Schizosaccharomyces pombe: one gene and its partners. The gene in region 2 interacts genetically with the main gene of each other region. Each region holds a gene or a part of one and is shown on either strand. Other genes may lie near its edges.

The links.
Region 1: mutations in ste20 (region 2) and nbr1 together harm fitness more than expected from each alone (negative genetic interaction), as found in Schizosaccharomyces pombe (one large-scale study listed by BioGRID).
Region 3: mutations in ste20 (region 2) and chs2 together harm fitness more than expected from each alone (negative genetic interaction), as found in Schizosaccharomyces pombe (one large-scale study listed by BioGRID).
Region 4: mutations in ste20 (region 2) and shr3 together harm fitness more than expected from each alone (negative genetic interaction), as found in Schizosaccharomyces pombe (one large-scale study listed by BioGRID).

The regions. Positions count from the first base shown.
Region 1 is NC_003423.3:983,139-990,281, forward strand, and holds nbr1 (protein Nbr1), read right to left. Parts: upstream 5,372-7,143; 5' UTR 5,167-5,371; intron 4,864-5,166; 5' UTR 4,700-4,863; coding exon 3,506-4,699; 3' UTR 3,245-3,505; downstream 1-3,244. Other genes in the region: SHREC complex ATP-dependent chromatin remodeller Mit1, read left to right, coding at 1-3,186; subfamily NudF ADP-ribose diphosphatase Ysa1, read left to right, coding at 6,420-7,037.
Region 2 is NC_003423.3:2,472,108-2,482,101, forward strand, and holds ste20 (target of rapamycin complex 2 subunit ste20), read left to right. Parts: upstream 1-3,771; 5' UTR 3,772-4,031; coding exon 4,032-7,961; 3' UTR 7,962-8,355; downstream 8,356-9,994. Other genes in the region: SPOM_SPBC12C2.03C (methionine synthase reductase), read left to right, coding at 1,523-3,238; SPOM_SPBC12C2.01C (uncharacterized protein), read left to right, coding at 8,824-9,780. UniProt on the Schizosaccharomyces pombe protein: Component of TORC2, which regulates multiple cellular processes to control cell growth in response to environmental signals. TORC2 is required for cell survival under various stress conditions.
Region 3 is NC_003423.3:1,092,342-1,100,512, reverse strand, and holds chs2 (chitin synthase-like protein 2), read right to left. Parts: upstream 5,293-8,171; 5' UTR 5,156-5,292; coding exon 3,156-5,155; intron 3,109-3,155; coding exon 2,328-3,108; 3' UTR 2,285-2,327; downstream 1-2,284. Other genes in the region: vrs1 (valine--tRNA (Val) ligase Vrs1/Vas1), read left to right, coding at 1-2,213; SIN3 family co-repressor, Clr6 and Rpd3L histone deacetylase complex subunit Pst3, read left to right, coding at 5,860-5,905, 5,997-8,171. UniProt on the Schizosaccharomyces pombe protein: Plays a role in septum formation. Has no chitin synthase activity.
Region 4 is NC_003423.3:1,173,203-1,179,952, reverse strand, and holds shr3 (chaperone protein Shr3), read left to right. Parts: upstream 1-4,039; 5' UTR 4,040-4,087; coding exon 4,088-4,198; intron 4,199-4,587; coding exon 4,588-5,124; 3' UTR 5,125-5,473; downstream 5,474-6,750. Other genes in the region: mef1 (mitochondrial translation elongation factor G), read left to right, coding at 1-1,873; translocation subcomplex subunit Sec66, read right to left, coding at 2,514-3,092; mtx1 (metaxin 1), read left to right, coding at 5,869-6,750. UniProt on the Schizosaccharomyces pombe protein: Involved in amino acid permease processing and required for the efficient translocation of structurally related amino acid permeases from the endoplasmic reticulum to the plasma membrane.

The DNA of each region.
Region 1 (7,143 bases), 1.5 Mb from region 2:
GATATTGAAGAGATAATTGCTTGGAGAACTCTAAACAGTTTATATCCTTCAAAAGCTACCCTTTCAAATAATTTTGTTAGTACATCGGACTTGAGCTTTTGGTCTAGAGAGTATTTCGTTCGAAGCAAAGGTAAGTCTTACCTTCACTGTTTTTGGTGTTCTGCTTCATGGCTAGCCGGTATTTCATTAGCTAAAAAGAAAAATTTCGATGGTTTGGAGAATGCCTCATACGACGCAACTAAGCCCATTATTCCAGTATCGTATACAATAATCGATAAGGTTTGGGATGTTCAATATAGAAGTGGAAAGAATGCTCGAACGGCAAAATATAAAACAAAAAAACATCAACTGAAGGCAATTTCTGAAGTTACATTCGCCTTTGTTTCTTGGCGTGGTTTAACTTATTATATGTCAAATTGGGAACCACCTCCTAAAGAAACAGATAGAAATCGCTGGAAAGCGTGGTTAAAAGGGTATTCGGACTTGTTGGAATGTCTATGGATCGAAAAAGCCCCTACAGCTTCGATAAATATTGATTTACCATTTACTAATCTTGAGTGGCACTCTCAACCAAGTTTTATCAAAGGTGGTACACTAATGCCATATCAACTGAAAGGGCTGAACTGGCTTTATTTACGATGGTACACACATCATCCTTGTATTTTAGCTGATGAAATGGGTTTAGGTAAAACTGTACAAGTAATATCTTTCATTAGTGTTTTATTTTACAGACATAAATGCTTCCCGGTACTGGTTATTGTCCCTCATGCCACTGTTGCAAATTGGGAACGAGAGCTTAAAAAATGGGCTCCCTTTCTACAAATTAATGTACTCGTGGGCTCTGAAAAAAACAGAAGTTTAGTCCGTGATTATCGTCTAATCAATCAAAAAGACCCAAAACATGTAAGCACTCATGTCCTCGTTATAAGTGCTTCAAATGTTGAACGTGAAATTTCATTGCTCCGAAAATTTCAGTGGAAAGTTTTAATTGTTGACGAAGGACAACGACTAAAAAATGATCAATCTTCCCTCTTTTATTACCTCTCTTCGGTTAAAAGTGACTTTAAGCTTCTTTTAACCGGGACGCCATTGCAAAATAATGTTCGGGAACTTTTTAATTTACTGCAGTTTTTAAATCCCATGAAAATAAATGCTGCTGAGCTTGAAAAAAGATACAGCATTATTGATACGGAAAAGGTGACTGAACTTCATCAAATCTTAAAGCCGTTTTTTTTAAGAAGAGTGAAAAGCGAAGTACTGGATAACTTTCCTACGAAGGTTGAAGTAATTATTCCTTTGTCCATGACACCTGTTCAAAAAGGTTTATACAAATCGATTCTTTCAAAAAATTTGTCTTTGCTACGTAATATTACCGGCTATGCTAATACCAGTTCTTCTGGAGGGCAAAGGACTACTTCATTGAACAACATTTTGATGCAACTTCGAAAAACATTAGCTCATCCGTACATTTATTCACCAGATATTGAAGACCGTAATCTCCCGTATGAACTTGCTATGCGTTCACTGGAAGAAGCCAGCTGTAAGTTTTTAATATTACGCTTATTGGTACCGAAATTGATAACTCGCGGGCATCGTATATTATTGTTTTCTCAATTTATCCAGCAACTCGATATCCTTGAAGATTGGTTTGAATATAAAAACATAGCCTATGCACGTTTTGATGGCGCCTCATCGGAAATGGAAAGGCAGTCAGCAATCGACTCTTTTAATGCTCCTAATTCTGAGTTGTCATGTTTCTTACTTTCTACCCGTGCTGGTGGAGTTGGCATCAATTTAGCTAGTGCGGACACTGTTATTATACTAGATCCTGATTTCAATCCTCATCAAGACATGCAAGCGATTGCAAGGGCTCATCGATATGGGCAAAAAAAAAAGGTACTTGTCTTTGTGTTAACTACTCGAGATTCTGTAGAGGAAAAAATCATTCAAAACGCTCAAAAGAAGCTTGTATTGGACCACTTAATTGTTGAGTCATTGGATCAAAATCATAATTCAGAAAAAGATTTAGAAAGTATCTTGCGGCATGGGGCTCGTGCATTATTTGAAGAGGCTGGTGATGAACCGTCTATTAAGTATAATGAATATTCGGTAGAATTACTTATCTCAGAAGCTGAGAAACAAGAAGATACTTCAACTGATGAATCAGATATAAAAAGCAATAAGTTTGGCTTTTTTCGTGTTTGGGATAACAAACATATATCTTCCAATCATTATGAAGTCAAAGAAAATGTTCTTGTTGATGAAGAAGATGTCTGGTCAGTAATACTTAAGCAACGAGAGAAGGATGCAATGCTAGAAAAAACAGACGAAACAACTTCCAACAGGAGACTTCGTGCACACCACAAAATCCATTATGGCGAAGATTTAAATATTTATGATAATAGCGACGATACTGATTATACCGTTAATGATCGATCATCACCAGGCTCCCCATTTCCCATAGAAACTGAGACAATCAGTTCGATAACAGATACTTTATCTGATAAGCAAAAACTCAAATATGATTCGAGCGTAAATATCGAAAACTTAAATGATGAATCTGATTCTCAAAAGTCTGCAGATGTTCATTTTGACTCTATCTTAGCTAAATCTCTATTAGCAACAACTCCCAAAGAAGATGAATTTAACAAAACTCTATCCACCATCAATTTAGAGGTGGCTAACAAATTAACTTCTTCAGAGTATATTAATGATTCGGAAATGCAACTGATAGACGATCCAGTTTTTTACCCACCTTACGAAATAATTGAAAAAAATCATCAACTGGTTGGAAGATCTTTGTCTAAAGCAGTTCTTGACAACTTTTTTCTACTGTCTTCTTTGTCTGATAATGTACGTTGTCGATGTTGTGGTATTAAACATTTACCAGCACATTGTCCATTAAGCATTGTGCCATTAGAAATATGCTTTTTATGTGGAACACCTCACTTTAGTGGAAGGGACACGTGCCCTATGTTACGAAATAAGGAAGCGATTTATAGACTAAAAGATTCGCTTAGCAAATCACGAGAACCATTTCACATCAAAAAACAAGCTATGGCTAGATTAAACTCGTTTCTACAAAAAAAGGAGGAACCTACTGTATCAAGCAGTGCCAAAACTAATGAACTTTCATCGAAAGTAATCATAAAGGAATCCATAATTAATGAAGCAAAAACTCTTTAGAGTTTTATCATCAATGTATACTATTATTTAATCTGGCATATTCATATGTATCCTGCATTTTATTCGTTAATATATAATTTTTAATATAAATTTTAAACATATATAGCATTTCCATCAAGATCATTATAACAAGGTAGGATCAAATATGGTAACAAGTGATTCAACTCTGAAGCAAATCATGAACTTAAAACCGGCGGTTATATACGAACAACCGCCAGACAAGTGGACAAAAGAAAGAAATATAAAACTGAAATCAGTTTCGTTATCGTTGTCTTCCACACTAAACTTCTACAGGACATAAAAAGCGTTACGAATGGTTTCAAAAAGACGACTTACTAATTCTGCTAAAAGACTTCGGTACACGAAGGAAGGCGCAAAGACTTTTGTGAAAAACGCTACCATCATCGGAGCAGATATTAAAAAATGCGGTAAAAATCTCTTTGTTACTTTTTTCAGGAACCTTCAAAGCAACTGTAAAATTAACATCCTCACCAGGATGAACGGAAGAAGTGATAGGAAACGAATATGGATTGTCTCCTGGAAAAAGTTTGTCTCCACCATTAAACTTGACATACAACGGAGAAGGCCACGATTGACAAGAAGTATTCCTTATATGCCATATTTTATAAAACGGGCAGCCAGGGCTTAATTCTAAGGGGAGAATGGAGTCCTCAACTAACTTGAAGTCGAAATTAAGAACCTTAGGTTTTTCAGGTTTAGATAAATGTAAAGGTGAAGCAGATATTTCGCGAGTTAAACGGAGCATTGAATGATGATCATGATGCACATGAGATACACATGAGGAGCAAAGATCATAGTCTTCACAAACCAGACAATGAAATCTTGGTCCAACTATTGGATGAGCAAGACAGTTGTCACATTGAACCGATCGATGTACTGTTGAGGCAGACTCAAACAATTCGGCTGATAGGAACTGAGGGAACAAATGAAATGAAGGAAGACCATGAGGATAAGCTTTAGTAATTCGAACGAAAGCATGCGTGTTTGAATGACTATTGTCGGTAAGGCAAGACTCACAAATGTCGTAGTCATCACAAACACTACACTTGTAACGCACATTATGTATAGGTTGCTCACAATGGTCACAAATGGCGTACATAAAATTAGATTGGGGAGAAACTGACATAGAATTTACGCTGCAGGTTAAGGAAGCAACTGAAGGGATTGAAGAGCGAACAAGTACGAAATGGGGTTTTGGGCAAGGATGGAGGAATGCCTGTTTCGCATAGCAGTCTCTACAAACATCGAAATCGAAACACTTTGTGCAATGAAATGAGTCATTCCGAATTATCTTGAGGCAAGTGTTACAAGCAACAGAAGAAGACCTTAAAGTAGGCGAATTATTATTGTGCTCAAAAATGTTTGACTTTAAATTATTCTCCTTAGTGAAGTGGATATTAGCGACTGAGGAATGAAAAGGAGGGAAGGAAGGAACACTATGGTTGCAAAGAATCCCACAATCAGAAGAGGGACATGTACGATTGCAAAGCATTTCGGGATCAAAAACGTGAATAAAATAAAATAAAATTTAATGATAAAAGAGAGCGTTAAAGAAAGCAAAAAAAAGAAAAAAATCGCGTAAGCAGTCAAGAAGTAACTCGAGTTCTTAGGTAAGAGAAGGTCTTAATTGTAGGTAAAAAGCTCTTTCGAAATAAGCTAAAGCAAAATTAGTAACGATATTAACTAATGAAATTAGTTGCAAAGTAAAATTTAATAGTTCATATGAATTTTGAAATTGAGGAAATATGTGACGCCGAAGTGAGCAACAGTGCTAGCAATTTCAGAGTAAAGGCAATAGAAAAAACAATCTTTATCAAGACAAGGATTTTTACGTTCTCGTAAATATTTATCGAAGATGTTATTATTAAAGTTCCATCAACCACTTTAGTCCTTCAATCCTTTTTGTAATTTGTTGTACAAACATTGAACTTAAGACTTTGTGCAAGTAAATTATCTTACCTATAGACGGAACAGGAAATAAAGACAAAACAAATAATTGAAGCGGATGTGTAGAGATACAGTGCAAACGAAATGTAAGGAGCGTTGGAATTGCAACTATAATGACGGGTTCCTAATTGGTTATGAAATCAAGCTATTAATTCTAAATGGGATGTATTCAACGGGTGAAGTGAGCAGGACAAATTCGCTAGTAGAAGTTGATGGTAATGTAAATGAACGAGGTCGAGGTGTAAGCTTATCACACGTATATGGGGGATGAGCATATCGTACTGATAATAGATAAGTTAAGCGTCGCTAAAAAGTGGTAGCGTTTAGAAGCGTGCACAGCATAAACAGTAACTTAGCGAATTTATCTACAAGAGGTTGGTACTTCAACGCATGGCCCTAAAAATGAATATATGAAAAATTTTGTTGATGTAGCAAACTTGAAAAAGAAATTGATTTAGTTAAATTGGAAACTACTTAACTTAAGCCCTAAAATGTACTTAGAAATCGGCTTAGACATTAAACTAGATATGGGTTATGGCATAAATGTAATTTAAATGAGATGTGAGTCGATAAAGTATTAATATTATATATTCTTAAATCATAAGTTGACGCTATTCTAATATCAATAAGCGATTATGAACTGAAAACGTAAATAAATGCAATTTCTCTTACAGCGTAAAATCTTTTACTACAATAATAGAAAAGGGTAGGAAAAACTCCATTATATTGGCTAAAACCGGTCACGGTATCTTTTGATGATCCGTTTGTAAAATCAATTGCAAATGAAAAGACACTAGAGAAGGTGATAAACGACCAGTTTATAGCTAAGTTAATAATTAATGGTATACTCCGCGTTATGATTTTGCTCAAATAATAATTTTGGTTTTTTGCTGATTGTTAATATTTACATTAATGAAATTTGTAAATATACGTCAAAACAAATTAACATCATACTTACATTGTCATACTAATCGCACGTTTACGCATTAACGGGAAAAAAGTAAGCAATATTTCAGTTGGATTTTAAGTCACTCATGCACCGAAATTTTTTCCAGCATATTATTAAAAGTACAAGAACATTAGGTATAAATGCAACTTCATTTCTAACCCGATATTTACTTAACGTTGGTAGACACCAGCATCCTCCGAAATTGATTAGCTCATATTCTCACATCGCTATTTCCACCTTCTCTTTTCAAATATCAGCAACTTCATTCCAACACCCTTCATACACTGTCAAAGGTTTGAGCACCTGTATTGATAAAATGAGCCAAGATCAAAAACCTAAAGTTTTGGAAGTGTCCAACCTTGAGAATCAGGATGCCAAGTGGACATCCTTAAAGAAAATCCGTTGGCAAGACGAAAAAGGAAAAATCAGGTTTTGGGAAATGGCTGAACGTACGACACGTTCAGAAGCCAATGTGGATGCCGTAGCCATCTTAGCCATTGTTCCTATCGACGGAAGTCCTCATGTGTTGTGCCAAAAGCAATTTCGTCCTCCTATTGGCAAGTTTTGTATTGAAATTCCAGCAGGTTTAGTTGATTCTAAGGAGTCTTGTGAAGATGCTGCGATTCGAGAGCTTCGTGAAGAGACTGGCTACGTTGGTACTGTTATGGACTCCACCACTGTCATGTACAATGATCCGGGTCTTACGAATGCTAATCTTAAGATTATACTGGCTGACATTGACATGTCGAAGCCTGAAAACCAAAATCCTCAACAACAACTTGACGATGGCGAATACATTGAGAACTTTCCAATCAAGCTTTCTTCTTTACAAGAGGAATTATTTTCTTTAGAGAAGAAGGGATTTGCCATTGATGTTCGTCTCTCCACATTTGCACTAGGATTACATGCTGGTCTTAAATACTTGTCGTCTTAGCTATGCACCTTTTGCTATTCACTGAATTACGACCGTTTACTATTAAATGTTGCTAATGGACTTTTTATGCTATAACTTTCCTTTGTTTTAGTCAAACTTTATTAAA
Region 2 (9,994 bases):
TCGCTTCAAGTACTGACAACTTGAGAGAAGAATTCCGTTTCAAACGGGAATAAAAAAGTGTTTCTTTCTCATAAATATTCTCTGCTTCTTTTTTAATTTTGTCTTGTTCCCATAAAACATTCAACATACGCTATCACTTGCAACCATCGTTACTCATTCCTGCCACGGCATTCTACTTCCCTAGTTACAAGTTTACACTTTCCGTAACCTGATACGTTCAAAGGTCTCAATTCGCTAGCGCTTGTATCTACCCATTGACACATCTCACACAACATTTATATATATATATGTATGTATTCATATATATTTATGCAAAGTATCTCGACTTGTAGGATTTTTTACAACGCAACAAACACAATACAAAGTACGAGTACATAAATAGAGAGATATAGTAAAAAAAAGAAAAAAGAAAAACTTGCTTACACTTACAAATTTGCTTAGAGGTATATACCAAATTCTGCAAGAGTTTTCTCTATTCTTGAATTTTTTATTGAAACTTAGAAATAGCAACTTTCTTTTTAGCCCTTCTACAATAACTTTTGCATACTCTACTCCCAACATCCATTTTCTCATCAGCAATCCTAGTCCAAGCTTGTCATTCCAACCTTCGTCAGTGGTAAATCTCGTTTTCAATCTGAATCGTCGATCTTTGCGTCATTATTGAGCCGTGGCATTCCTATTTGATCGCTCTTCGTTACGGGCTGTCGGAGGAACATAACGTGTGATTTTAATTTGACTAAAAATTTTTTATCAGATCATTTTTTTTTATTGGCCCTTCTACTCAAGTTGCGCAAGCTTGAGCACCTTTTTAGTCATCTGTTGGGTGAGTTTATTAACAGACACTTTGTTTTGCCCTGGTGGCTTAAGGTACCGTACATCTCATTCCTGTTAACAAGGTAGCTAGCATCTTCACCTGTCCTACTACCACCTACTTGTATCTTCGTACACATACACCACCCAAGAGAGGCGACTTTGCTTCATATCTGATACAAAACAAATACAATACAAATTATTCTTCCACATTTGTTTGTTTGCTTCACTCGTTCTCATTTGCCAGCCCTTTTTATCGCCTTTGCTTTTTCCTTCAGATCGTCTGGTTTTAACTCTACTTTTACCACGCCTGTAGATTCCAAAAATTTCTTTGAACATCGTACTAATCGGTTTATCCTTTTACGTCTTCTCCTTCTTTTTATTTAAAATTATCTTTCTAGGATTCGGGTTACCCCACCCATTGGTTTGGAATCGTTGTGTCTTGTGTATCTATCTTATTTTTAATCCGTTTACTCGTTTTCTTCCCCTTCTCTAAAATTTTATTCTTTTTTTTTCTTTTGTTTTGTTTTGTTTTCTACTTTTTACATCCTTGACTTTCTTCCTTACGATTGTCATTTTGTTTATTTAAAAGTCTTCACTGTCTTGTTAGTTTCCATTTGTAATTCCTTTTCATCCGGCAGCTTGTTTGCCTTTTTCCCCTTACTATTTTTAATACTTTTCTCTATCCACTTCTACTTTATTTTTTCTCAAGATGGCACCTTCTGTTGCAACCTCACTTAAGGCAGAGATCCTACCATCTCCGCGTACCTCATCTCCCTCTTCGAACTTTAAAACGTGTGTTTCCAACGAGAATGGTTGTATAAACTGTCGTTGCTCGCCTTCGGAACCTCATGAATCGGCCAATGTCGATGAGTCGGTAAATAAACTTTCCAAAACCTTCTCCAAACTTTCATTAAACCCTACCTTCCAGGCTTTGAACATGGATCTAGGTCTTCTACATGAAAATATTACTCTTGACAGAATTCCCAAAGTTCCCGAGAATCATGTCTCTTTGATTGATATCGATGAGGCTCGTGCCAAAGAAGACCCCAACTTTCAAATTCATTCAACTCCTTCTAGAATGCCTCCTCACTATGTTCAACCACACCCTCCGTTCAGTGTCTTTCCCGCCCCTATACTAGACGTTCGTGAGCTCACTAAACCAGGTGCTGTCAAACGTGTGTTCCATTTTGAACTAGACGTTTCCAACTATCCCCTTCCTGAAGGCGAAGAGTGGATGGTTGGAGGGTCGTTTGGTGTAATGGCTCCCAACAACGAAGAGGATGTGGATGAGCTTTTACAATTACTTCATATCAATCCCGACCAGGCAGATGCCCCTGTCCTTTTAAAAACCGATGGAGGTCGTTGGCCCACCATCTGGGCAGAAGACACACCTAGAGAACTCGTTACAACCAGGCGTGAGCTTCTTAAATGGACCGTGGAGTTTATGTCTGTCGCCCCAAAAAAGCAGCTTATTCGGTTACTTGCCGAATACGCCAAGGATGATACCGAGCGGCAAGTTTTGTTGTTTTTGGTCAGTCGTTTGGGACAACGTGCTTTCTGTGATTTAAGGGACCACAACGTTACACTTATCACTCTGCTAAAGGCTTTCCCTAGTGTTCAACTTCCTCTTGATCACCTTTTAACCGTGCTTCCCCAGCTTATGCCTAGATGGTATTCTTTGTCAAACGATCCCAAGGTCAGTAATAATGTATTGGAATTTGCGGTTACAGTTGTTGAAATCAATAAAGTTGAAGGAGGCACTCGTTCTGGTATTGGTTCTGGTTTTTTGAAAAGATTGGCATTGAGATTTTTAAATGGTGAACGAGATCTCGTCCTTCCAATGTACCGCGGTCTGCACAAAAACGCATTTGCCACACATTTTGCTTCTGATGGCCCTATGTGCCTAATCGGTGCCGGTGTAGGTGTTGCTCCCTTTAGAGGTTTTGTGCAACGACGTCTTACAAATGCCACTTGTGCTGGTAAAGTTTGGGTTTTCCATGGATGCCGCGACCAAGAATTGGATGAGCTCTATCATGGTGAGTGGGAAAACCCGCTTCAAAAGTCTTCAGACGATGATGCATCTTCTACAGTCAGCCAACAAACCGAAACTGAAATGGATTCCTTCGAAGTTAAAAAAGACGGTACTAGTGGCCCCAACCATCTTGTTGTTGAATCACGTTCTCACCAACATGCCTATGTACAGGACGAGATTCGACACCGTGGTGACATTGTATGGAGTGTTCTTAGTCATCCTCATGGGAAGGTTTATCTTTGTGGTGGTAAAAAGGGATTTTTAGATGGTGTTGAAAATGCCTTGATTGATGTTTGCGTTCAATACGGAAAAATGAGCAGGCTGGAAGCTACCCAACAACTTGCTCTTTGGCAAAGTCCACTTAACCTTAAATACATAAAGGAGATTTGGTAAATGAATGAAGTTGTTTATCCACGTTACCAATATTTATTTTTTCGTTAAAATTTTTTTTTTGTTTACTATCTTTTCACATTATTTTCGATTCTTTTCTGTCTTTTTTATTATCGTTTCGTTTTAAAAAAATCTTTTTTGAAATGTTTCGAAAGCAATATTTGTATCTCAAAATGGCATTTTAATTCTATATTGGCTTGGGCATATCTGTTAAAACATTTTTTGTTTAGCCTTTTGTTTCCATAAATAAAAATATAAACAAATTTTAATAGTTGATTGTAGTAATATAATTTACTCATCTTATTCTCTTGCTTTGATTTATCCTTCATGTTTTCGTATACTGTTAACTAGCAATCTTGAGACTGTAAAGTAAACATTAAGGATTCGATTCTTTAGTGAACCAGTACCTAGTATCTAATTATTTATTAGCGAATTCTAAGGAAATTTGTTTTGCCCATTAATAGCGAAACATCACTCCATGTCGTACAATCGTTAACGCCGGTAACAGAACTCCGATTAAGTTCAGCCGTTGGGGTATCCATGAGCATACGAGCATAGTTCGCAAGCATTATCATTTTAGGACTCTTCACAATCTTAAGTTATTATTTAAGTGTTAATATCTTTAATTTTACTAGATTGCTTAAAAATTGAGAGTTTGACTAGCCCAGTAAGCAATCGCGTGTTGCACGCAATAAGTATTAGTACGAAAACATACTATCCCTTTATAAGGCTATTTCATGAAGGCGCTTATGGAAGGAGATAGCTTTTTTATTCCTGCTTTTAATGATCAGTGCTCATGAAACCTGTGCGAAGGGGACAAACCGATACTGCTTTGGATATAAGTTCCCATGCCAAAACTAATGGTGACTTTATCAAAAAAATGAATACCACTGATTCAAAAAGGCTCAAGTTACTTGAGGATTTGAAGGGAAAGCTCGAAGTTGAGTGCAAAATACGGGATGGCGCTGAAACGTTGCTGCAAGTCTTCGACACCAATTTTAAAAAAGAAACAAAAGAACGTAAAGAAATGTTAAAAAAGAAATGTACCGATGAGCTCGAATCATCTAAAAAAAAGATAGAGGAATTAGTTTCTAGCATTGAATCTTTCCAAGGAGAAAATGGTGAAGCAAAAACTGGCTCAACCAGTCTCACGAGGTCTGCTTCTGCGACTGTCAGTCGAAAGAGCTCATTGCAGGAAAAGTATAGTACGAGATTTTCTTACAAAGCAGGATGTAGCGATAGTTGCAGTGTTACAGTCAGTGGGACTGGTGAATTAATAGGTCCTACCAGAAATGCGCATAGCAATTTAACTCCTACCGTCATTCAAAGAATTGACTTTGAAAATGTCAACGAAAAAAATAATTCTTCTTCTGAAGATACTCAACCTAACGGAAAACGTCCTTCTAGTTTGCAATCGAATTTCTCACAATTTCCATTAAATCCTTGGCTTGATAATATATATAAGGCTTGTCTTGAAGGCAGTATGAAGGATGTAATCGATTCCTCAAATAATTTATGTGAATACTTACATGAACATTCTGATCCCGCTTATGCAAAAAACTTCTCCTTGATTACTCCGACCATACTTTCAATGCTCGAGTTGAATGTCTCTGAAGTTACGGCTTCTGTTTATAGACTACTAAGGCATTTGTTTCTTGACGCAACAGCATTCTCTTGTTGTCAAATGTTGAATTTACCTTGGATCTTGTCAAAGTCTCTACTTTCTGGTACCGATGCATATCAAATTGAACGAGAGCAAGCATTCCGACTAATCCGAACTCTTTATTTTCTTTCATCAACTGAAGGACATGAGGATTATCTTTCAGGTATTACGAGGACTATCATTTCAATTTGTGAGCATGTATCAGATGTTAGTCGTGGAATTGCTGTTGAAACTCTTATCGAGTTAATGATTATTCGACCAAAAATTTTATTTAAAGCTAATGGTTTAAGGGTTTTAATGATCTCCCTAATCGATGGAAGTATTTCTGAGAATTTAGCAGCTAGTGCTGCACTTGCATTAGTATATCTTTTGGATGATCCTGAAAGCGCTTGTTACGTAAATTTACCCTACGATATTGGCATTTTACTTTCACCTTTTACTAGTTCTTCTTCGCGAGATACATTTAATTCCTCTGAGGAACAGTCTGAACAAGCTGCAAAAGCCATGAAATCTTCCGCCAAAGTTGCCTCTGTTTTGCTTAATTCATGGTCTGGATTATTGGCTTTGTCTACCAATGATTTTCAGGCTCTTCGGTCGATTGTTGATACACTTCGGGTTCCATCCTTTGCTCCACGAAGCGATGTAATTGATCTTTTCTTTTTAATTTTCCAAGTTGAGTATTCAAGTTGGTCAGAGTCTTTTTTGGCCGGAAAACGATTAACAGTCGTTAAAAATCAGGCTGTATCTAATGATGATAACATAAACATGGTTAATATACCGGATGGTTCCAACAAAAAGTACATGTCGCTACGCCAACATTTTACAGCCGTCTTATTATTTATATTTTTGGAGCTCGGTTTGGTTGAATCTATTGTATGTATGATTAGGGCCAGCGATGACCCATCAGCCTCACGTAAAGCTACATATCTTCTAGGAGAGGTATTGAGGCTGTCTGATGAGCTACTGCCGATTCATTTAGGAGCCAAAATACAATCCTTGCCATCTTTATTTAATATGGCTTCTCAATTTACTGCCGAAGACAGGTTTGTTGCCACTTCTGTTCTTCAATCCATTGAAAGTTTGAATAGAGTTAAATTCCATTCTGCAACACAACCTTTCTCGCAGACAACCTCTCTTCTTTTTAAGGAGCAAAAAACTGATGGATCTTTTCGGGGGCAAAGACAGGTTGAGCATGTTAAATTGAAAATGGGCATGCAGATTGATGATTCACATTTTCGTAGTATGCTAGCTGAAACCAACGTGTTAGCTACAAAAAACTATCAAAAATGGCGATGGGATACACTTGTCCAAATTATGGAGGGTCCATTGCTAAGTCCGAAACGTATTGATGAAACTTTGCGAACCACAAAATTTATGAGACGGCTTTTAGCATTTTATAAACCCTTTTCCAACAGATTTTCTTCCATACAAAACACTAAACCAAATCAAAAATTTATAAAGGTTGGTTGTCTTGTTTTCAGGACTTTACTAGCCAATCCGGAAGGCGTTAAATATCTTTCTGAAAGCAAAGTGATTAAACAAATAGCAGAATCTCTTAGCCAGATAGACGGATATTCAGAACAGGTTTCTGAGCCGATTTTCTCGAACAGTAGGCTTCAGAAAACCCTCACCCACGGTTACTTTCCTATGTTAAAAGTATTGTCAAGCCAAAAGGAAGGTCATGCAATTATGGAACGATGGAGGATTTTTACTACACTTTACCATTTGACAGAATTGAGGAACAGAGACGATCTCATAATTATTTTTCTGACTAATCTTGATTATCGGCTAGAGGGGCACACACGAATTATATTTTCTAAGGCGCTTAATACCGGGCAACAGGCTGTACGCTTAACTGCAACCAAGCATCTTGCGGCTTTAATCAATTCTGAGTCTGCCAATGACAACTTAAATCACTGGGCAATTTCTCTATTGATATTTCAACTGTACGATCCTTGCTTGGAAGTATGTAAAACAGCAGTGAAGGTGTTGAATGAAGTTTGTGCTCGAAATGAAAACTTGCTGGCTCAAGTTGTTCAGCTTCAACCTTCATTGGCCCATTTGGGTGAAATTGGCTCACCTTTACTTTTACGTTTTCTTGCTACAACTGTCGGATTTCATTACCTTTCTGAAATTAATTTTATTGAACATGAACTCGATAATTGGTACCATCATCGAAATATAGATTACGTGGATTTATTGGAGCAAAATTTTTTCCTTTCTTTTGTTTCAAATCTCAAAATTATTGACAAGAAAAACAATGAACCAGATGAAAATATACTTCCCCTACACTTTTATGGCGAATTAGTCAAATCTCCACAAGGTTGTGAGGTTCTCGAGTCTTCTGGGCATTTTGAATCTTTTATGGGTACCTTGGTGGAATTTTACGATAAACCGTTAGGAAATGAAGCCATCAGGCAGTTAAAGAGTGCTCTTTGGGCTATAGGAAACATTGGAAAAACCGATCAGGGTATTACGTTTTTAATTAACCATGATACGATACCGTTGATTGTCAAATATGCCGAAAATTCATTGATTCCTACTGTTCGAGGAACTGCTTATTTTGTATTAGGCTTGATTTCCAGGACTTCTAAAGGCGTTGAGATACTCGAATCACTGCATTGGTATAGCCTTATGTCTTTAATGGGCACTTCACAAGGAATTTGCATTCCGAGACATGCTGGACAAGTATTATCAACTCCAAGGAGAAATGTTGAGTTTGTAAATGAGCGCGTGCCAACTCCTGAGTTTTCTTCATTACTTAGCTCTTTAACTAACTCAGAGAGAGAGGTAATTAGGCTCGTTTCCAATTTGTCAAACCATGTTTTAACAAACGAGTCAGCACGGCAACTAACAAAGATTCGTTCGAAAAATGCTAAAGTTTTCTCCTCTAAACGTTTGGTGAAAGCTTGTATGACCATTCTGGGAAAATTCCATTACCGTGTTCAGATTCAACAATTTGTATTTGAATTATTTCCTTACTCGGTTTTATTGTCTTCCTCAACCTCACAGGACTTAAATGAATCCCCGTCCAGGCCGAATAATTTGTCAATTTCCGCATGAACTCCAAATTTCCGAACCTTCACTTTTCTAAAATTTTTGTAAATTAATGATTTTTATGATTTCTTATTATCGTTTTTCTTCTGTTATTCAATAAGTTTGATCTTTAGTTTTCTGCTTATTCTTTGACCTTCCCTCTTTGTTTCTTTTCATAAGTTTATTTACTAAGTTAGACTAGTGTTTACATAAAAGGTGATTGCGCTAGGGTTAGTAATGAGTTTATAATTGTTTTTGGATGTTTAAATTATTAATCTAATATTTATAAGACATGTCTGATACTTGCGGATATTTTTTTGAATTTGTGTAGTTTAGGTAGGCCTGCTTAGCCCCTGGCCTCCATACGATAGTAATATGAACAAGAATATATTGCCTTTCATCTTTTCGTGCTAATTTTTACTTTGTACGCTGTTATTATCAATATAAAAATTGCGTACCACAAAGGTGTACTTATATGTAATACCCATGCTTAGCAAGTTATGCTCAACTTCCACATACAACGTATGCAACGAACGGCAGCCTCATGTTATAGTAAATTAGCAAATCCTATATAACTAAACGAAAGTGTATTTGCTTAACATATCGTGGAGTTTGGGCATATTTCTGCTCACAAGTAAATCTCATACAACATCGCATTTGGTTTTAATTTGTTTTGGTTGTTCGCAAGGAAGAAGATTATTCTTTAAAAAAAAGGAAATAAATTTATAAATATAATTTGAAAAAAAATATATATATATATATTTGGGTTTTTACACTCTTTTGACTACATAACTCGATAGGTTTTCGGATTTGTTTAATAGACAAAAGAAGGAAGTACGTTTAAGGGTTTATTTCTATGGAACATTATTGATTTTTTTTTTTTCTTGCTATGTACAATGTGACATACAGGTTACTTCGTCTAAGCTTGATTTCTTCTCATTCTTTAAGAAAATCACGGTCCTTCGATGTCAAAAACTTTGCAAATATTCATTTTTTTATTCCCTTACCAAACACACCAAAAAAGTTTTATTCTGTGAATGCATTTTCCCCTTTACTAAAAGCACGGCGCATGACAGCTACGATTGTAAGCAATCATAATGTTGGTTGTTCATGTTGCTACTTTCGACAGTATAGCACAAAACAATTTCGTGATTTAAATACCAGTGAAGCTCTTTCTCCATGTAAAGCTGAACCGATACCCTATAAAATCATGTCTTCCATGAGTAATTTTTCAGATTTTAAGTCTCGATTTTCACAATATCGAGAATCACATTTAAAGCTACTAAATGAGCTTCAAAATGTTAAAGACACAAATGATCTAAAAGACAGAATACGCTTACTTCATCTCAATAGCTCTTCTAAACTTAATGCTTTTTTACACGATCTTATAAACGCGCCAAATGTGTCAGCAGAGATGAAGGAAAATTGTGTTCGTCTGATTTTTTTTGGAAGGAAGTATGATCCTTTTCTTAGATCGAGGATGTTCACTTTAACTATTCGTTACTTTCTACTTCAAAAAAATAGGCTTAGGACTAGTTTTTATTTATTAAAACATATGGAGTTATTGGCTCTTCCTGCTTCTTATGAATTGAAAACAACTCTTTTAGAGTGGTTCTTACGAAAACGAAAATTTGAAACAGCTCAAAAGATTTTCCTATCGCTCTGCTTTTCCCAACATTTTCCCTCCGAAAAGTTATTGATGGTTTTACTTCTTCATGGGACTGAAACTATGCAGGAATATGCGATGATACAGGCAATAAATTTTGTGAATACAGAACAAAAGTTACGGTTTTACGATAGACTACACTCGATTTGTAGCAAGTTAAAGTTTTCCTCGACGGGTTGATGCTTTGGTAATAAAAATGGTTCATTTGGATGGTTATTTAAATACAATATTAAGATTTCTACTGTTTGGGTATTTAGTAAGGTAAATTAAATCATTGTAATTTTCGTTCAAATTGTAACTCATATAAATTAAATTATCCCTCATCTTGTTCTTTAGTTATTATCACGACAATAAATTTACGACTCTATTCCTTAACCGTGGGCACTATTTTAAT
Region 3 (8,171 bases), 1.4 Mb from region 2:
AAAATCTTAGTCGTGCCGTTGTTGAAACCTTTGTTCGTTTGCATGAGGAAAATATTATCTACCGTGCTAATCGTCTCGTGAATTGGTGTACTGCTTTACAAACAACTTTATCAAACCTTGAGGTAGAAAACGTTGACGTTCCTGGCCGTACTTTGCTCAAGGTCCCTGGATATGATGAACCCGTCGAAGTGGGTGTATTGACTTCCATCGCTTATGCCGTTGAAGGTTCTGACGAACGAATTGTTATTGCTACTACACGTCCAGAAACACTTCTCGGAGATACTGCTGTTGCTGTTCATCCCCAGGATCCTCGTTATAAGCACCTACACGGTAAATTTGTAAAACATCCCTTCTGTAACCGTTCAATTCCTATCATCTGTGACGACATAATCGTTGATATGGAATTTGGTACCGGTGCTGTTAAAATCACTCCAGCTCATGATCCTAACGATTATGAAGTTGGAAAGCGTCATAATTTGGAGTTCATTAATATTTTCACTGACGATGGTCTTCTCAATGAAAATTGTGGAGAATTTGCTGGCATGAAGCGTTTTACTGCTCGTGTTAAGGTTGTTGAACGACTCAAGGAGCTCGGCTTATTTGTTGGTACCAAGGAAAATCCAATGGTAATTCCACTTTGTGGGAAGACTTCGGATATTATTGAGCCAGTCATGAAGCCTCAATGGTGGGTGAATCAAAAAGAGATGGCTGCAGCCGCAGCTGAAGTTGTAAAGTCTGGTGAAATCGAAATTGCTCCTGATATGTCTCGCCGAGAATTCATTCGCTGGATGGAAAATATCCAAGACTGGTGCATTTCTCGTCAATTATGGTGGGGTCATCGTATCCCAGCCTATTTTGTAAATTTAGCTGACGAACCTTCTCAAGATCGAAGTGAAGGCCGTTATTGGGTTACTGGTCGTACTTTGGAACAAGCAGAAGAGAAAGCTAAAGCTGCTTTTCCTGGAAAGTCTTTCACACTAGAACAGGATGAAGACGTTCTTGATACTTGGTTCTCCTCCGGATTGTGGCCTTTTTCTACCCTTGGCTGGCCAAAGGATACTAGCGATTATGAAAATTTCTATCCTACTACTCTGATGGAAACAGGTTGGGATATTCTTTTCTTCTGGATTGCTCGTATGGTAATGTTGGGTCTCAAATTAACCGGAAAGATTCCCTTTAAACGTGTATTTTGTCATGCACTCGTTCGTGATGCTCAAGGCCGCAAAATGTCTAAATCATTGGGAAATGTTGTGGATCCTATAGATGTCATTGAGGGTATTTCTCTACAAGCATTACATGATAAGCTTTTGGTTGGCAATCTCGACAGCAGAGAGGTCGAAAAAGCTAAAAAGGGTCAACGGTTGAGCTATCCCAAGGGTATACCTCAATGTGGAACTGACGCTTTGCGTTTTACCCTCTGTTCCTTGACTACTGGTGGTCGTGATCTCAACCTTGATATCCTTCGTGTTGAAGGATATCGTAAATTCTGTAACAAGTTGTACAATGCTACAAAATTTGCTTTGGGTCGTCTAGGTTCTAATTTCGTTCCTAACAAGACTGCCGATCTTACTGGTAATGAATCACTTGTAGAAAAGTGGATTTTCCACCGCTTGAACATCGCAGCAGCCGCTATGAACAAAAACATGGAAGAAATGAACTTCCTTCAAGCTACTTCAGCTGTTCACCAATTTTGGTTGTATGAACTTTGTGATGTTTACATTGAGAACTCAAAATACCTTCTAAGTGATGGTACAGAGGTACAACAAGAATCTGCTAAGCAAACCCTCTATACTGTCCTTGACAACGCTCTTCGTTTAATGCATCCTTTTATGCCATACGTTACTGAAGAGATGTGGCAGAGACTTCCTCGTCGTCCTGGAGACAAAACTCAGACTATCGTTAAAGCTGCTTTCCCAGTTGAAAGGGTAGACTATTCTAACGAGATAGCTGCTAAATATTACGAGTCTATCATTACTGTCGTTCACTCTACTCGTTCAATGATGGCTGAAAATGGAATCAAATCAGATGCTGTGGTATACATTCATCCTGATGAAGAACATTCCAAACTCATTACTTCGGAATCTGCCAGTATTCAAAGTCTTATCAAGAAATGCAAAACTTTAAGCATCGTTGATAATACTTTTGATTCGGACAAATGCGTTAAAAACGAGGTTTTAGAAGGAAGCACTATCTTTTTGGAACGAAACAACTAGATTAACAATCGAAAACTTGTATAGTAATTGAAATTACTATAAATCCCCTACATTGTTTCATTTTAAAATATCGGTCATAGAAGAAATATTTACAAGATAAATTTAGTTGTATCATTAAGGATCATTAAAAATGTAAAGTTTTGATTTCACACAATTAGCAATTCGTGAAATGATCTTGGTAGCTATGAATGTAACAGCTCCCATGGTTTTCCAAGCAGTGAAGGCTACGATACTCCAAAATATATACTTCATGTAGCCATTATTAATAAAACGCATGCCATCGAATACCTGAATCAGAACAATGGCTAAAATTAAGTTGCTTACAGCCCAAACTAGCACATAACGAGTACGAATGTCTTGGTAGTGATCCTCATAGGATTGTGGCTTCCGATAGCAATGGTCCTGAACATCGTGATAAACCGAAGTATCATTAGAAGAACTGAAATTTTTTAAAGAAGAGTTATATACAGAATTCAACACGTTGGCTTTTGGAATACTGATTGTAGTATAGCCTTCGTCGTTCATTGAACAATGGGTAATACCTGTGTCAAAATTAAATTCTTGCTGGTTATCATCCTTCGAAATTGAAGCATCATCAAGATGACAAAGTGCATATATTTGCTCAGTATAAATGCGAGTTGGCATCAGCAGAATGTATTGCACAATACAAGTAAAGATAAAAAAAGGATCCATACAAATTAAAGAAACGAAAGCATAACATGCTAGAATTAATAAAGAAGAGAAAATTAAGGTCGTGAAATAATTGTTGCCTAAAACAATTTCAGAATTATCTGAGTTGTGTAATGGTATCAATGAAATATAAAAAACACAAAAAACGAAATAAATCATAATAATGGAAAACAATGCAGTACTAATGAACAGTAAAACTCGACAGCTAAACAATTAGTTAATATGAGAAATTTTTAAAACAAACATTCATACCTCCGTGGTCGATTGCCCATTGCTAGCATAAACTGTGAAAAAATTAAACAAATTAGAATATATTCGAAAACCAGAAATAAAGGTCGGGCCCAATTACCATACGGATTCAATGAGCTGTATGAAGTGGCATTGCATACAAAGTAGAAGGCCAAAAAGAAATTTGCCATTGAGAAAAAATTCACCAACTTCTCAATTGCAAAGACGAGCGATTGAACGGTGAGCAAAAGGAATCGAAAGAACTTGTGCCGGGTAGTCCATAAAGAAAAAAAATCAACTATAACATAGACAGCAAGACTAAAGCTACTGTTAATTTCAGATTTTTTAGACTCTAGTATTCCAGCCATTGAATTGGGCGCTTCAATAGTAGCACAAGCTTCAGGTACATATTGCAAATGCCATTTTGCATCTTTTCGGGTGATTACTTTCCAGAAAAGGAGTTGTTCTTGTGCCAAAAAAGCATTGGATTGTAAGATACCTCTCCTAGGAATTTCATATTGGTCTTGCTCGAAATAATCGGCTAGTGGTCCAGGGTTTGGATATGAATCTTGCAAAGCGACGTATCGAAATCCATAAATTGCGTTAAGCGCATTTGAAATATAACCCATGCAGCTGTCGTACGGTAAGCGAAGATTGTTATGGATCATTTGGTCAAAATGTTGAGAAGCAATGAATGGATTTAACAGTCTAAAGCCAAACTTTCCTGTATCAATCGAAGTTTTACCACACATTCCTCCAATAGTGGAATCAACATCAAAAGCTTTCCACGCATGATAAATAGATGTTGGGCCAAGCCTTGCACCGTTACGAACAAAGAGACAAACCTTGGGACGAGCAAGCGATGCTATACCATTTAAAAACCAGCGATGCGAGTTATAAGTGCCTAGACGACGGTCCTTAACACAGAGTAACATCTGCATTGGAACGTTTCCGTCACCAGTCGCTGTTGTAAGATTGAGTTTCTCATCAACGTTGATGGTACTTGTGAATTCATACATATGGGATAAAGTTCTTTTTCCGTTTACTCTCCCTTTAGCAATGTGAGGTTGATACACTCCTATAGATGCAAGCAAGTCCAAGACGTTTTGGTGAACAGTGTTACGGCCATCAATTACGACACATACTAAAACCTTTTCCCAACTCTCATTTCCCCATACCCGCGACTTAGACCGTGAGCAAAGATGTTTTAAATTATTCATGATACTAGAAAGAGAAATGGCAAAAGATGCCAAATCCTCATCGCTAAGTGTTAGACAAACAGCAATTTGAATGTCGCGACCCGTGGACCATGTTCGTAGTTGAAGCCCATTATTATTCATATCTTCTGGTTGGCAGGTAATGGCCGAATACCGCAGGAAACTTGCTTCATCGGGGTTTTTTTGCATAAATGGACCAAGCATGCCACGTAAGTCTATTGGCGTTGGGCAATCAATAGTCAGGCTTCCACATAATAATGGAACATCTTTGGAATAGTGCGAACTTGATGAATTCAAGCGATCAATCGAGGTGTATGACTGACTGTGCGTCATTGGTTCATTGACGGGCGAAGCAGAGATTTCTGAATTAAAGTCCAGATACTCATTCTTGGAGGAATTTTCATAACCGTCGTCTGAGTTACTATTCACAGTATGGGTTGGTTGAAGAGGAACGCTAAAAACTCCAGTTTTGTGAAGTGGAGGGATAGGTGGCTCGTGTTCATCAAATGAACGCTCCTCAAAATCGTAAACTGAATCTGTGTAAGAAAAAGCATCTTCTTCCAAGGTCCTTAACGTCTTCATATACTCGACTTTTTGATCGTCAGGAGATTTTATCTCATCATACTCATCGTAACAAGGAAAGCTTTTAGAAGAACTCGAACTGAGGGTCGAACTAGAATATGCTGTTTCTTCATCTACACTACTGTGACTGACCCAGTTTCGTAAATCCTGCGAATCTTGAGTGTCCTTAGGTTGCAAGAAGGACCGGTGTTTAGCATTAATATAGCTGGGATTCTGAAAACTCATGTTGATGCTTTCAAAAATTTCCACAAAGCAAGAAATGAATAAAAGTGTTTGGGTTGTTTGATATTATAAATTTTCCAGATAGCGATAATTCCTTGCTTTTAGAGGGCTTAAGACGATCAATACCAAAGCCTCAGAACAAGCAGAATGATGGACCACAGCTTGCTTTTATTCCATTCGAAATTGTTACTGATTTCATTGTTTACAAATTTAGAAACGATGTTTGTTTACGAAGCAGATGCCATAGTAACGAGGTAGCCATGCAACGCGTGCGTAGCCTATGAGAACGTACAGGAGATGCAGCGCCATAATTTGTACTGCGTACTCCGTAAAATGAGAATAATGAGCAAAAGGGTATAGTATTTTTTCAACGTTCAAAAGTAACGAACAGTCAAAGATGCTAGATGGGGCAAGGAAACGACTAAAAAATTGATGTCAGAATTTCTTGACACAATAAACATGAATTAAAATTCTTTACTCTAATCAAAGAATGAAATTAATGATTTTTAAATTCAACTCAACTGCTGATGTTTTGGAAATTAGTTAAGGTAGGCAGGTGTGTGTAGCACGCACGTTACGTGATGACATTTACTTGTGTCAAACACAACAAACCAATCTTACCTTTCCCGTAACGCGATTCAGACATTGCAAGACTGCAACTATCGAGATAAAGCAGTCATTTCTGTTGCATTTATGAGTTTTTAACCATGGATGTAATGAATGTGCCTGTCGACTCAGAACGCGACAATCCTGGTAAGTTTTTACATGCTTCTTCTGCGAAACATCATTTCGAGAAACAATCTTGGTTTATGAGGTTCGTTTTTAACAAATGCTAATATTATAGGCGACAAAGTTGAGACACAATCTGATAAAAACCATTTACCAAAAGCGTCACCGTCTCAATCCCAGTCACCTGTAAACACCTCTTTGCACAATGGTGATGGAAAAGATAATGGCGTAGCTACTGAACCTGTTGAAAACAAACAGATTTTATCGGAAAGAAGTGTAACTCGCGATGATTACGAAAAAGGAAAAACCATAGTTTCCTCGCTCGCCTTATCATCGATTTCTGGTAAAGATGGCTCCATTTCTTCACAAAATGCAGAAGGATTAAGTTCTTCTTCTAATCGTCCTTTGGATGTGAACGATGCGCTTTCCTATCTTGAGTTAGTAAAATATTATTTTTCTGAACGCCGAGAAATTTACAATCGATTTTTGGAAATTATGCGCGATTTCAAATCTCAGGCGCTTGACACCTTGGGAGTTATTAATCGTGTATCAGAGTTGTTTAACGGTTACCCTCAACTTATTGAAGGCTTTAACACGTTTCTTCCATCCGGTTACAAAATAGAAGTACAATTGGACTCTTCAAACACTAGTGTTGTACGTGTAGGTACTCCTATGCACCCACTTCCCCAGCAGGGCGTCCAAAGTACATTGCCCGTGGCTCCATCTAATGAAGATCAGCGAACAATGGAATCCACTAGTCCTACTGACTCTCAACCTCAGCCATCTGCTCCAAATTTAGTTTCCAGTACTGAAAACGAGAAGCCTCGGGTAGATTTTAACTATGCGATTGCTTATATGAACAAAGTTAAGGCTCGTTATCCACCAAATTCCGACACGTACATGGAATTTTTAGGTGTTTTGCGCACTTATCAGAAAGCACAAAAGTCGATTTTTGAAGTGCGTGCGAGGGTCGCTGAAATTTTTAAAGATTCACCAGATTTGTTGGAGGAGTTTAAACTTTTTCTTCCTGATAATGTTGATTCAACTGAGCCATCCACCCCTAATGTTCAGAAATCTCCAAACCGTCTTCCTCCGGTTGGGAATTTCAGTCTTCCCCCTTCTGCACCTGTACGTGAAAAAAGAAATCGACCGGCTCATTCTGCCCAAATCAGTAGATCGATATCTAAAACCTCGAGGATGTATCGACAAACTGCTGAAGAGCCATTGAACTCTTATTCCCTTCATGTATATCCGCAAAAAATCACTGCTCCCACGTCCCCTTATGCTGCTACCCAGGAAGAATTACTAGCCTTCACAACGATTAGACAGCATTTACCTGACACTTTAGCCTTTCACAAGTTCCTTGAGCTTCTTCATCTTTATCGGGAAAAGTTATTGGATAAAACAGAATTATTAAATTCTTTTTCAAAACTTGTTAGAAATGATAATTTGACATTGTGGTTTTCCGAATTTATTAGGTGGAGTGATAACCCAATACTTGTAAAAAACGAACCGGTGGACGAACGTGTTTATTTACCAGAAACTTTTGAGTGCATTTCACTGACTTATCGCAAACTTCCGGATTCCTGGAAACAGGACAAATGCTCAGGTCGTGATGATTTGGACAATTCTGTTTTGAATGACGATTATATTTCTGTAGCTCCCAAACCATCCCATGTCAAAAATATAATGCATCATGAAAATCAGTACCTACAGGCATTGCAACTAGTAGAAGACGAACGGTATGATTACGATAGAGTTTTGAATACTACCGAGTCTGCTATAAAAATACTTGCAAACTTTTGTGAGCCGACGATTCACGAGCATTTAGAAACCGCCCTTCAAGAACTCGAGCGATCAAAACGAATAATTAAGAACGCCCTTATAATCGTTTATGGCAAAGAGCATGCAAATTTGGCTCTTGACACTTTATTTAAAAAATTACCCACTGCGGCTCCTGTACTTCTGAAACGTATTAAAACCAAAGATCAAGAATGGAGACGAAGCAAGCGAGAGTGGAGTAAAATTTGGCGGCAAATCGAAAAGAAAAATGCTCAAGCAGCATTTGACGACAGATATTGCAGAATAGAAGGGAGAGACCGTAGAGGATTATCTTATAGCCGTATTCTTCGCGATATTGATGACATTTATCAACGACAAAAGCATCGGATCGATGGGGCCAAGTTGGGGTTTCAGTTTACCCAAGTTTTATGTGATAGTCTCATATTTTTGAATATTTTGCGGCTAAGTGATGCTCAGTTAACAAACTCTTCTTTTTATTCATACGCTG
Region 4 (6,750 bases), 1.3 Mb from region 2:
TAATATTATTGATACACCTGGTCACATTGATTTTACCATTGAGGTGGAGCGTGCCTTACGTGTGCTAGATGGTGCAGTGTTGGTACTCTGTGCTGTCTCCGGTGTTCAATCGCAAACTATCACAGTTGATCGACAAATGCGCCGCTACAATGTCCCCAGGATCTCTTTTGTTAACAAAATGGATCGTATGGGTGCAGATCCGTGGAAGGTCATTCAGCAAATAAACACAAAATTGAAAATTCCCGCTGCAGCTGTTCAAATTCCTATAGGTCAAGAAGACAAACTTGAAGGTGTGGTTGATCTTATACAAATGCGTGCAATTTATAATCGTGGGTCGAAGGGTGAGAAAATCGAAATTTCTCAGCAGGTTCCTGAGAATCTTATTGAACTAGCAAAAGAAAAGCGCTCAGCTTTAATTGAAAAGCTTGCCGATTTAGACGAAGAAATTGCTGATATATACGTAATGGAAGAAGACCCTACACCTGAGCAGCTTATGGGAGCTATTCGTAGAACTACACTTGCAAGGAAGTTTACACCTGTATTAATGGGTTCTGCCTTGTCCAATGTTGGAGTTCAATCTGTTTTGGATGCTGTTTGCGACTACCTACCCAACCCTTCTGAGGTCGAAAATATAGCTTTGAATGCAGCAGACTCAGAAAAGCCAGTATCCCTTGTTCCTAGCAGTGAGAAGCCGCTTGTCGCTCTTGCTTTCAAACTCGAGGAGGGAAGGTTTGGCCAGCTCACCTATTTGCGAATTTATCAAGGTACACTCAAGCGGGGTAATTACATTTACAATGTCAATTCTACAAAAAAAATAAAAGTTTCACGCCTCGTTCGTATGCATTCCAATGATATGGAAGAAATCGAAAAGGTTGAAGCTGGAGGGATTTGTGCGTTATTTGGTATCGAATGCGCTTCTGGAGACACCTTCACGGACGGTTCCGTATCGTATACTATGACTTCAATGTTTGTACCAGAACCCGTAATTTCACTTTCTTTAAAACCGAAGAGCAAAGATACAACCAGTTTTTCTAAGGCTTTGAATCGCTTTCAGCGTGAAGATCCCACTTTTCGTGTGCAGTTGGATAATGAATCGAAAGAAACCATCATTAGTGGTATGGGTGAACTTCATTTGGAAGTTTATGTCGAACGTATGCGTCGTGAGTACAAGGTTGACTGTGAAACGGGTAAACCAAGAGTTGCATTCCGGGAAACTCTTTCCAAAAAGGTACCTTTCAGCTACCTGCACAAAAAACAATCTGGTGGAGCCGGTCAATATGCAAAAGTAGAAGGGTACATTGAATACATGGATGGTGTGGAAGACGAATCTGGAAACGTTGTTGATTGTGAATTTATCAACAAAGTTACCGGTGGAACAGTCCCTACGCAGTATATTCCAGCTTGTGAAAAAGCTTTTTACGAAGCATTGAAAAAAGGATTTCTCATTGGTCATCCTATAAAAAATTGCAGGTTCGTTTTAGAAGATGGTGCTTATCATCCCGTTGATTCCTCTGAATTGGCATTTCGTTTAGCCACCATTTCTGCTTTCCGTACAGCTTTCTTGCAAGCGAACCCAATGGTTTTGGAACCAATTATGAACGTAAGCATAACGGCGCCTGTTGAACATCAAGGTGGTGTAATTGGTAATCTTGATAAGCGTAAGGCGACTATTGTCGATAGCGATACAGACGAAGATGAGTTTACGTTGCAGGCGGAGGTCCCTTTGAACAGCATGTTTTCTTATTCCTCGGATATACGAGCCTTGACTAAAGGCAAGGGTGAGTTTAGCATGGAGTTTCTCAAATATCTTCCAGCACCAAAATATGTGCAGAAGGAACTTGTTGACGCGTACAACAAACAACAACAAAAATAATTTTTGAAGTCCGTTTTAAATGAAGCAACAGCAAAGTTTTTGGTAACCAGTCATTTCTATTTAAAAAAAAAAATTTTGATCCACTCTCCTCTTTACTAACGCAGCAATCTACATGCAAATAAAAAAAATAAATACCCAGATTATTACCATACAAGTAATGTACAATTTTTTTTGTGCAAGATAGTTCATGGAACAGAGAATGAGTATATTAAAGAATATGAAGAGTAAATTATAGACCAACTTATAAAGGCTGAGCTCTTAACGGAGACATTTTGGCCAGAACATACATTTGAATTCCAATAACTTGTTTTCAAATAGTGCTTTTTTCTTTTTCCTTCTTTCTTTCCATATTTTTGTTATTGGTTTGGAAAAAAAAGGGAGTAGGAATAGGATGATAGATAATATGAATAGGAAAAAAGTATGACTTTCAATATAAAGGTAAGGACAGTGATAAAGCAAGCCCCCTTTATGGAGTCTATTACTGAATTTGATTTATGAATGAGTTCTAAGGATTATTGTATAAAATAGGAATTTTAGTTTCAAAGAAAGAAAAAGATAAGAAAACGTAAAACATCAGATGCAAGAAAGAAACAGGAAAAAAAGAATAAAGGCACATACGAACATCTTTTTTTAAAACAATTTATAGCACTCCAAGTTCTTTTTGGGCTTGAATACGCAATTCCTCATCAGCGGCTTCATACAGAATTTTTTCGGTTTGCCAACGTTGCGAAATAGAATCAATGTCCTTGGGAATATTATCAATTATGCTGTGAATTTTTTCGTTTTCAATTATTTCATTGCAAGTTTGGAATATAAACTGATTCCATCCAGGCTGCAATGAATTGGCAGTTTTGGCAATATCCATCAACTCCAATTCAGTTTCCTTTTCCAAACGACCAAACTTACGAATTAGCTCGTCACCAACGCCGCCGCGGTTGAGCAAATTATTCAATGCCATTCTCGATACTTTAAGCTTCATCAATCGACGAAGACCTTCTGTAGCCCGTAAAACGAGAGCAGCTTTCAAAAGTGTATCCTCGGCAGGTGGATTCTGCTGCAAAAGACTGAAAAATATATTTCTAGAATAATTTTCTCCAAACCATTCTTCTGATACTGGTTTTGATTCCTGATTTTTGGATTTTCGCACAAAACGAGAAACTCCATACATAGAGCCCATTAAAATGGTAATATATATCAAGGGAACGTAAATCGACACCATATTGAATTAATTAACACGGCCAAGTATGTAAAGCAAGCAGGGACCTTTTTCTTTAACAACTCGTATACCCTTTTTGTATTATTTGTTTTTTGCAGAGTGGACTGCAAATATGTATATGAGATATAACTTCGAGACCAAATGAATGCAAGACCAGTTTAGGTGTGAAAGGAGAATAGTGTGTTTTCTGGAATGCTTTATATTTTATAAGGTTGATGTAATTTTCTGTTATTTGTAGATAAGAGATATTTATGTTTTCTTAAAGACGCTAAAATATTTTACGCGATGCGCTATTAGATAAACAAATCGATCGGATATTGTTCAATTGTTTGTTTAAACTCAGGTAAAAGTTTTTAGAATTAGAAATGAAAAAAATTTACTAATAGGGAACTAGGATAATAAACAATTGAGCATTTTAGAAACAGATTTTGCGACCATTGTGAAAACTGACGAAACATATAGTTAGGAAGACAAAAACACCTCATTTATGAAATTATTTCTTTTTTTCAAGTATACAAAGGATCTTTGTATGTTCTTCTATATTGTTTCTGTAGTTTTATTAGTATTTTTACATATCGAGGCATTGGCATTCATTTGTTTTATTTACAGCCAATTAATAAATTCCCTTATTTTGATATAAGCTTTACAGTCTCGCTTAACTTGAAAACGCTATGATGTTGTGTATTCAGTTACAATAAATAGTGACATACAATAGTCGCTCAAATATATCTGGTTATATTTTATATTAAATAATTTTGCCAACTGATTTATCTTGGGTTGATTTTTCTTATTCGTGAGATTTAGATAGCCGTTCATGATGTTTTTCTGCATACAATGCATATTAGTGGAAAATGCGTTCGATTTCCTTATACTCATACAATCCTTTAGACCGTCGAAAGCGGAGTGGTATCACTTTGGTATAAAAAGGTAGTCTTAATTAACCTACCACTAACGTATATTTTCATTAACAAAAAAAAAGTTTATTATCATTATTCAAGATGGCTAAAAGATCCATATTTCGTTTTGCTGATGAAAAGGGCTTGAAGGTCGCTGCCCGTTATGGAGTCCTTATGTCAACTAGTTTTATTTTTGCTTTACTTTTCCACAGCGTATGTTCCAATCAAATTTCTATTTTATTCTAAGATTATTCATTTGAAAATCAACTTTCATTTGATATCAATTTCGTTTAGCTTTTGGAGACAAAGGGAGCAGAATATGAGAAATTATAAGTCGGTACTTTGAGTGAATTCTGAATTTGTTTTACAAAACATGCATTGTTAAAATAAATCTGGAAAATTATTTTATCAGGAACGTTTCTAAAAAGGAGCTTTTTGTCTGTTTAAGTTTTCATAATCGGATACGAGCATTCATCTTACCGCTCAATGTTTGCCGCGCTGCTCATTTTTCTGTTGTTCTTATGTTTTTGGAGCTTCACTTCGAATTGATTACTTTGTTCATAGTCTTTATTTTCTTAGCATAAATTACTAATGTCATTTAGAGCGTTGCCGATGTGAATACCTTATGGAGTCCTGGCCCTGAGTCTGCTTTCGATGCTGCTGAAACTTACTATACTTTGGTGGCTGGATCCCATTTCATTGTAAAATATACTGTATATACCATCATGGGACTTAATATGATTTTCCATCTTATTCAAGCCACTGGCGCTAAAGGTGATGACAAATTGTTCTTTTACTCTAGCACGCTTCTTTATCTTACTGCACTAATTTTGTTTATTGTTAATGTTGCTCCTTCTATGTTGGTTGTTAAGCTACAGAATTATGTTCAATTCCCACGAAATATGCACTTGTCCGTTCTTGCTGCTTCTCATGTTCTTGTTGAATTTCTTCTTGCTGGTGTCATTCTTATTCAACTTGGATACGTTTTCGGATATCATGTTCAAAGTATCCAGCAGCGCGAATACGCTGAAGATATGAGGGAGCAAGAATTAGCTGAAAAGGCTAAATTGGAATCCGAGTCTGCTACTACTCAGAGTGTAGAAACTGTTTCCACCGAATCTGTTTCAAAGCGCAAGTAAACAAACCACTTGGGTCTAATTTTACAACTTTTGGAATAGAGTGAACTATTTTATATCTTGCTAATTATTGTTGCTAGTCCGTCATCAACTCTTTGACGCAAAGTTTATGTCTAACTAGAAAGCAAAGAGTGACTTGCATTGACGGTAACTGGGAAAGCTTACATGTGTATTCATACGTACAATTATATATATACAAGATTTATACTGTCTTATATAAGAAATAAATTGACTTGAATTTTCGATAGAGGAATAGTTCGTTATGTTTGGATTTAGAATAGTCTTTAGCACACTTATACTTCTTAATAATTAAATATGTACTCATTGTGCAAAAAGGATTATCACAAGTGAAGCTTTTGTGAGATTGTATATTCTTCTATACTATGGATGCATAAACAAAGTCTCATTTTAGATGGGTTTTACGCTGCAGATACAGCAGAAGCGCCATACAAATATACTAAGTAAAATCTCAAAGTTCAAATGCTCAATCGATTTATTGTGCTAATTATCGATGTTTAATTCACTTTTTAACAACTAATAAATAGGTAACAATGTTACTTGTTCGTATAGCTTACTTGACTGCATAGCATCAGAATGATAATTGTAACTAGCTTCAGCGAATTTGGTAAGTTGGACTAGTTGGTTAGTTATTACCTTTTTTTTCTTTCTTCTGTGTTTCTCTAATCTCAACCCTACTGTAGACGGTAACTTTTTCAATTCATTCGTTCGGGTCATTTTTTGATCAAAATGTTGCAACTTTTCATTTATAGCCCAGGACTTGGGCAACCAACGATGGATCCTGGATGCTTAGCGGCATTAATTTATTGCGCACTTGCCGTCCCAAAGGACGAAATTGAAATTCTTCGCACTGCAAATTCAGGTATGAGCCCTACCCATAAGCTACCAGCTTTGTGGGATGGTCATGTTTGGATTGGATCTTTGAAAAACATTTTAATATACTTGAAACAGAAGGGCTATAATTTGGATAATTTTGATGCGAAACAGCTGGCCAATGTTATGGCCTTCACCAGTTTATTGGAAGGTTCCGTCAATGACCTTTGGTTATTAGAAGCCTTTGTTAATGAGGAAAATTTTGTTGAAGCAATAAGACCTGCTTGGTCAAAGGCACTTAAATTTCCTCATAATTATTTGACACCCAATGCTTTGCAACGGCAAGCAAAAGAACGCTTGGCTCAAACACTTGGTATTCGCGACGAAGAAGTCTCTTATGAAGCATCAAGGATGCCTATTTCTCATAAATGGACTAATGCTACTAGACATAGGCAAGCTCTACTGCGCACGCAAGCTCGTCGTATAAGAATTTCGTCATTAGCTCGGCAGGTATATGGTTCGCTTGAGTCCCTGATTTCAGATTCAAAATTTATATTCGGTGAAAAGCCAACATCTCTCGATTGTTTGTTTTACGCCTATTTATCTTTCCATGCTTTCACCAATGAGCTTCCTCAAGCAACTTTGCGACCATGTTTGCAATTCAACTCTCCCAAGCTTTATGCCTATCTCAAATCTTTACGCGAAACCTGGTTTTCCGATGATTCAAACATACTTTCTCCTTTATCGATTAAAGTTCAACCCGAAAATCTATTGACTATAGCTCGCCTTGCTTGGAAC